Linked DNA regions of Drosophila melanogaster. The protein of the gene in region 1 purifies or fractionates together with the protein of each later gene. This does not show direct contact. Each region holds a gene or a part of one and is shown on either strand. Other genes may lie near its edges.

The links.
Region 2: the proteins of Charon (region 1) and key purify together in Drosophila melanogaster (affinity purification with mass spectrometry, with the first as the bait; one large-scale study listed by BioGRID). This does not show direct contact.

The regions. Positions count from the first base shown.
Region 1 is NT_033779.5:1,171,034-1,174,957, reverse strand, and holds the start of Charon (charon), read left to right. Parts: upstream 1-2,152; 5' UTR 2,153-2,338; coding exon 2,339-2,935; intron 2,936-3,044; coding exon 3,045-3,244; intron 3,245-3,314; coding exon 3,315-3,924. Other genes in the region: CG4887 (uncharacterized protein), read right to left, coding at 1-48, 388-461, 692-761, 828-1,074, 1,129-1,578, 1,639-1,757.
Region 2 is NT_033778.4:24,785,628-24,789,551, forward strand, and holds the start of key (kenny), read right to left. Parts: upstream 1,785-3,924; 5' UTR 1,664-1,784; intron 1,504-1,663; 5' UTR 1,415-1,503; coding exon 1,142-1,414; intron 1,078-1,141; coding exon 975-1,077; intron 917-974; coding exon 612-916; intron 469-611; coding exon 109-468; intron 57-108; coding exon 1-56. Other genes in the region: Reg-5 (rhythmically expressed gene 5), read right to left, coding at 2,661-3,223, 3,352-3,541.

The DNA.
Region 1 (3,924 bases):
GTGGCTGTACCGCATGCTCACCCGCTCGTCGTTTAACTTCAGAACGCCCTGGTGCGCCAGACATGGAAATAGGAGAAGGAAAGGTTGCGGATTAGTAACCGATCGCTAGGATGCCTTCATTCACACTCTACACAGTCACCGGATTGCATCTGTGTTTCGTAACGCGAAGTTTTAGCCGCTGGCAATCTCCTCGAGTGGCTTTCTTGGGCAATTCTAATGAAGCAATACTATACTCGTGCTTAGTTTCCTTGCAACTACATATAAGTACTTTTAGTTGGACAAAGCAAGCTAAACAGTGAGGAATTCCTTATTATCATTGCCTGCGAACAACCTTGGCTGCTGATGATGATCAAAGTTTCAAGGGGATCTGGTCGATTGCGCTGATACCTGTGTAATATCCATCCATTGCTTTGCCTCCTCAACGGTGTTAAACTCGACAAACGCTATACCGCGTGATGAATCTAAATTTTCGGATAGAAGCAGATACAAAATGTTTTCGTCAAAAAATGTTGAATGTTTCGATAGGTTTGTAACATTTTTGTGGACTATTGTATTCTTTTCGATTCATGTGGCCGGTTAAATTCGATTGGTACTTGTACACTTCGCCTCCATTAGCGCGAAGCCGCTCCAACTTTTTGGACCTACTTACGTCTGACGCTGAAAGAACAAAGTCAGTGATTTCGTAACCCACCTGTTCCCTGCTTCCGGATAATGCGAATGCACGCTGGCTCCATGTTCACCTTTATCAGCTCGCTCATAATCTAAAAAAAAAGTTAGTTCATGAGTAATTAAAGGAGTTGCATTTGCCACTCTTCTGCTTGGCTTACATCTGCTCTGGTCATTTCCTTGGTAAGACCGAAGATTATAATAATATTGAGGGCTTCAGTGGTGGATCGGTATTTGTTCCTGCGCATGTGGCCTTCATCGCTGTCGTAATCTGAGGAGCCCCTTCTCTCACGATCCCGATCTCGATCTCGATCACGTTCACGGTCTTGCTCCCTATCCCGATCTCGATCTCGATCGCGATTATGGTTGCTGCCACCGCCGTTGTACATGCGGTGATCTCGGTGGCGCCTGCACGGTCCGATTTATTATTTAGCCTGAAGTGTATGTATACTTTATACTCACGTGTTTCGCTCGTTGCTTCTGCTTCTGTCGTCGTGATTGTTGTTTCTGTTCCAGGGTCTGCTGTGTTCCCTGCTCCGACTTCTGTTGTGATACCAGTCCCTGTCCGTGGAGCTACGATCACGTGAGTCCAAGTCGCGGGAGCGCTGTTCGTACTCGTAGTCGTTTAGCTCCCGATCGCTCTCGCCATCTCGGTCCCGATGCCGACGGTCGAAGCTATCATGTCGCCGGAACTGACGATTCTCAAAGTTGCTCCTGGAGTTGTAGTTGCGCTCATCCTGATCCCTGTAGTCGTCGTTGATCAGGCTGTGGTAAAGGTCGGGGTCCCCGTTACCAGCTCCTCCTCGACCACCGCGATGCTGATCGTTTCTGAACACGGGCGACCGATCCCGATCCCGACTTCGAGAGCGAGAGTTCCGGTGCCTGATTCCTCCATGGCTGCGGTTGCGCTCACTGAAAAGGGTACACAGTACTAATAAACACGATCGCATTACGCTGGTAGGGTAGAATTACCGGGAACGCGACCTGGATCGACTGTATCGAGACCCCGGCCTGGATCTATAGTAGTCGCTGCCCCGTCCACCCTCGTTTTCACTTCCACCAGAAAAACTGCGCCGACTACTCGAGTCCATTGCCGACTTGCTTTGGCATAGACGCTGGGCAGGCACCAGTGGCAATAGAGCTTCGATGCGGAATCCTTCACGATCTGTTTGGTAACTTAGCCTTAATATTTTTATCCCGGTTCCTTATGGAGGACCACCGTATCTTTTTTCTCAAGAATACTCGATGTGCCATTCGCAGCGAAACGCCGATAATTCTCTAAAGCTAGAGATGGCCCTTTTATATTTATGTATTTTGCAACGAAAGATGGCTATATATTTTTAAGCATTAAAAACTCTAGGTTCTAGACCATAACATAATTATAAAGTTTTTTTTAACGAAAACTACTCTTTTCTTAAAAAACAAACATTACATTAGCTATCAGCAATAACAGTGCTCTTGTCTGACTGCTCACCAACCATCCTTAGGAGCAGTGTTGAGCAGCGTCCGAGTGCCGCTACTTGCCATTCCGTGCAGCGTGTCGTGGGGAAAAACCAATTAGTTTTTTTTTGATCGTCCTAAACTTGGAAGTCCCACGAATTCAATCACTAGCTGACGGCCTTATCGCTGGTAGATATTGCGAGATCGAGCAGTGCATTGTAAAACGGCCACGATGAAGAAGGTTCTATTGACCAAAGCCCAGCACATCCAACCAGTCGTCGCTAGTAGTTCGGATGTTTTGGTGATCAAACCAGTCGGTTCCCTGCGAGTGATATCCATCTCAGCGCCACATAGTGCCTCTACCTACATCCAGCGCAAGTCCTTCCAGCCCGTCTACGAGGACATCTTCAAATTACTCATGAAAATCCCAGACAAAGCCCTTACCCAAAGGGTGATCGACGCGATAAACGAGAGCAATAATAACGATAAGGTCGCTATCTCCAATCACGGTAAACAATGTTCGTGCGGAGTCCAAAAAGTCGATTCATCTACACAAACGGATTGGGACACCGAGGAAACGCATATGCCTGGCATTACAAATAATTCATGCGAAGCCAAAGGGAATAGGCATAGCCACATGACCAGTTCAAGTTCCGAACCTATAAAACCGCCAGTAGATCCGACCAAAGTTCCTAAAAAGCGCGGTAGAAAGCGAAACACCTGCGTGCCACAGGTGGTCAAGCGATCAGCGGCTGAGATGGCGCTTAAGGAGCGCGAGGAGAAGCAACTGACGCCCGTGATCACTAAACGGAAGAAAAGGGATGTCACCGTAAGTACAAGTATTATTATGATGTAGTAGTTCCTCCTGGAAAGTACTAAGTTCATAAATCTCGAATGGAAATATATATACGATTTTATTATAAATATCTTTCTTACAGCAAGCGCAAAACTTCGAATCATATCAGATCACGAATAAAACCCCTGTACGCCGAAACTCTACCTTGTCGGATATATCGTTCAACTCCGATGAGTTGACCCGGGTGGAAAACTTTATAAGCGGAAACACCGAGGACCGCATTATACGCATCATGGCCAACGAATTCAGAAAGTCGCACATAATGTCCGAAGAAGGATTGCTGTAAGTATTCATTTAGCCGAATAAGACCATCATCATCGTAATGATATCATCTTTTCACATGGCACTTCAGACCCATTCACGAGGAAATACTGCACGGCGATGTTTACGGCGTTAAGCGTCAGATATTTGTGTGCTGCCACGCGAAAATGGACATCAACGAACTACTCACCAGGGACGGCGAGGACTGCCTGGAACTTGCGCTGACGAACGACACGGACACCGAGATTGTATCGCTCATCCTGGACGCTCGCATGATGACCGACCACCTCTACGAGAACTCAAACACAGCTCTTCATCTGGCGGTGATAAACCATATAAATATAGAGTCCATTAGGCTGCTGTTGCGCAGAATCGATTTGAACAGTCTTCTGCTAACCAACGATGATGGTTATACAGTTTTGCACCTGGCAGTGCGCAATAACCAGTTCCTTGTTGTCGAGGCAATCCTTGATAGTATAGACGAGCGCGAGCTGGGGGAAACGGTGTACAGGAGAACCCTGGAGGCAGCGAATCCGAATGAGTGGGACGAGAAGGGCTTCGCCAAGTACTACGATCGTGCCTGCGAACGGCTGGAGCTGAACAAGACGTTGCTAAAGAACCGTGCACATAAGCGGGATGTCATCAATGCATCCGAGGCGAGGGGCGGAAACCCACCGCTTTTCTACGCCGTGGAAGGGGAG
Region 2 (3,924 bases), on another chromosome or scaffold:
GGACATCGCAAAGTGGTGTCTGAAGTCCGGGATGAGGCGCCTGTTGGGTCGAGAATCTACCGATACAAAAATTAGTATTGACATTTATGGACTTTGGAATCAGCGTACTCTTACTGGTCTCTGCTCCTCTCGCAAATTGCTTCTGCTTGAACTCAGCGGAGAAGCGGTCGAGCACGCCTTGCTTGCCTTGTGGGACTCGGCCAGAGCTTCGATAAGCTCCTGGTTCCTCCTCTGCAATGATCGCAAGTCCATAAGATACTGATCTTTCTCTCCGGCATTCTTCTCGCGATCTGCCCGCTCCATTTCAAAGTCCCTGCGGTAGATATCGTTTTGGATCTGTAGACCTTTGATCACCTCCTGCTTCTGGATGTCCCTGGCCTTCAGCTCGTTAATATCCAGCTGCATTTTCTTTATCAGCTCCTGGGATTTTGATTCGGTTGCATACTCTGGTACGAACTCAAACGAGTGCTGAAATAACAGAAGAAAAAGGGTGCGAGCCCGGAAGAGAATATTTTAAAGAGATACTGTCCAGTTTACAATGCAGAATAGCAATGATTGCGAGTCTGTATGCAAGTATTTGCCCTATCGCTTGGAGCAACTGGTAGACATACATTTAGCTGTTTCAGTTTGTCAATCTCCACGCGCATGTTGTCGATCAGGGACTGTTTCTCAGATACGCTCTTACGAAGCTCATCCTGCTCCTTTAGCCTGATGGTATGAACCCCTTCAATCTGCTCGATTTTCGTCTCTAGGTCCCTCTTCAGCTCTTGGTTTTCCACGCGAAGGATCGCGATTTGCGCTTGGCACTCTTTCACATGCTCCTTGTACTGGTGTTCTCGGTCGGCGGCTTCCTGGCGCCATTGTTGAGTCAGGTTGTGGTAGTTCAGCATGGTTTGGTTGACCTTGTCAAGTGTGCCTGGCCGGATAATGGCATATTATTGCTGTATATTACTTTACGGGAAAAAAATGCTCACTCTTTAGCGCGAGGTACTCGGTCATCATGTTCTGCAGCTTAACTACTTCCTCTGCGGAGCCCTGCAACGAGCAGAGGCTGGGAAACTGCGAATAAACACTGTTCTGTGGTTGGATTTAGAGACTGTTGTTAGAATTTAAACAGACCAGACGGTAACCAGACGCTCACCTTCAGGACATCGGATTGAATTTCTCCCATAATGAAGCTGGTCGCCAGGGATTGTTGCTGGGAAGATCCGGAATCCAGCGATTTGTGCTGCTGCTGCGATGCAGTGATGCTGACTGGAATACAGTTCACTGTTGGCGGCTGAGTGCTCGTAGAGGCAACGGTTTCCTTCGCCTCCTGCGCGTTACCACATACGTCGGACCGCAAGGAACTGTCCGGCATGAGCGAGGAGCACGGCGAGCTACCCAAGATAACGAATGACTCTTCGTCCGACATGTCTCCGTTGTCGCGGTAGCAATGGCGGGTATTAATAATCAGATTTTACGACTGTGAACGCAGGTGAGGGAATTCCCCTCTTTCGAAAACTAGACGGCAAAGTATTAGCCAAATCGATTAATTTGATATCGGCAATAGTAAGGATAAATGTATAATAAATGAGTTTTAGGGCAATGATTCATTAGGCGTGGGAATTACATCGACGCGTCACAATGGAATAAGCAATTGTCATGTTTATTGCATATATACCTTATATACTACTGCGTTCCTTATCTCGTTTTGCTTTGCTGACAAGCTTTAAGGAAATAAAATTGTTTTCGGAGTAATATTTACTTTTAACTAATTTACCAAACAACTTAGACCAGTGTGACCGCAATCGTTTCAAATGTGCCTTTTTTTGTGTCATTGATTGTCATATTGTCATAATCGGAAATGTTATCGACAATCGGCGAGCTCGTCTATCTAAATTTAAAAGCAGCTAATTTCAATAAAACTGATTACACGCCCAAAACTCGTGCATATGAAGTGCAGTTTGCACTGCAAGGGCGGTGGAAAGTCCCGGCATCATTTATTCAAGCCCAGTGACGTGCATCCCAATTTACCTTCCTTTGTTGCTCAGCTGAGATTAATGGGCGCGTCCTAAAGGCCTGAGCCTGACAAACCAGTTGCCAGCGAAATTACACCGAAATGTAATTGCCAAAACTCGCAAATTCTAATGGACGGCGCAGTGCGTTCTGAACCCGCCAAACCGGATTCAGTACCTCCATTGTTCGGCTCAACTCTGTAGATGTGGGTTAATAAGGCTTTCGCGTGTTAAATATAGGTGTGAGTGGAGCTCGCGACAAGGAACTGGTGGCTGGCCGAGATGCGACTTTCGTATTACCATAACCAACCGGTTCCTGGCTATGTGCACAGACCGCATCCCCATCCTCATTTCCATCCCAATCCACACATTTTAGAATTAATACGTTCGTAACAATGATAATCATCATGCGGTTTATTACTCAAGAATCTCTATGTGATCTTACGACTAATGCACGCGAATAAATAAAATTAAAAAAACTTAAACGAATACGATACGAAATTCCATTAAAGCTCAAGTGCATTCAAGAAAACTCCTCAAACGGCTACAACTAGAAGACTCACACGTTCACTCTCGCACTCTATGATGCAGGATCTCCTCATCTGCTCTATCACATTCACACAAGGACTTAGGTCTAGGCCTGCGGATCCTCTGACCGCGATCTTACGCCTGTTGCTGGCGGAACAGACGCCTCTGCGTCTGGTGGGGTGGCTGGAGGTCGCTCTGCAGGATAGAGGCGAAGTGCTGCTGCTTTAAGGAGCTGATTGTGGCGATCTTGCGGTGCCTGTTGGGCTGAGCGGCGGCCAGACCAAGATGAAAGTAGGGCAGGTCTTCGTCCCGCGGCAGTGGCATCATCTTGTCCTCCTCCACCGGGGAGCCATCGGGTCGCACCCGGATCACCAAAGGTCCGGTGAGGAATCTTTTGGACGGTTCTGAAGTCAGTGCGGCGGCCATTGGGAGCTCACTGCTGGACTGCGGCCCGTAGCCGTAGGCCTTGTCCATGTCCATGGCGTATTTGTGCTTCTGCTCGCCGCTCTCGAAGATTGGATTGGTGGCGGAGCCGGAGCTCTGGATGGGGTGGGCATGGGATGCTCCGTGCGGAAGTTGCTGGCGCGTTAGGATGATCAGAGAGGACGCAGGAGGAGTTGGCAGGGGCTGTTGGAGCGGCTGCCTCGTTGTCACCAGGCTGGCTCCGCTCGGATGGTCCCCCATAATCGATGACCAGACTGCGGAAGAAAAGAGCGATTAGATCGACACCGAGATTTAGAGCTCACGTCGAGCACGTCGCGACTGCGCACTGCGGAAGTTCTGACGCGGAAATCAATCATTCTCCCACGCAGATAGAGGCACTTACTCAGCTCGTTGGCATCGCGCTGATACGGATCTAGTGCCTCCAGCTGTACGTCGGAGAGCGTCTGCAGCTTGGCGGACCCGTAACCGAGCAGGTTGTGCTTGCACTGGTTCACTGGGAGGCCTCCGACGGCGGCTGTTGACTTGCAGTGCACGCTTACCAATTGAGCGAATGTTGAGTAGAGGTGGGACATCTGCAAAGTAACAAAATTGGTGGTTATTTTAATGGCGTCTTGTGTTTAAGAATCAAGTTATAGAAATTAGAAAGCAGATCATCGCTTCTCTGTTCACCAGCCGAATATGGTATTGATTTGTCATAAACGAAAATCGGAGAACATATGTCGGTGATATTAGAAAAAAAAAGAAAAAAGAAAGTTCGAAGCAATCATACTTCGACCAGGTCTCTTGGGTAACGCAGGGCAGAGGTGGAGCTGAAGCCTGGTGCTCTCAATGGGGGGATTTCGCAAGGTGCGTGTGTGTCAGCCGGGAGATGATTGCACTTTCGTTGCACAAACGAAATGCATTTCGACAGCGCGGCCCGCGGGTTGAGCAACTGCCTCCCAGGGCGAGATTGGAT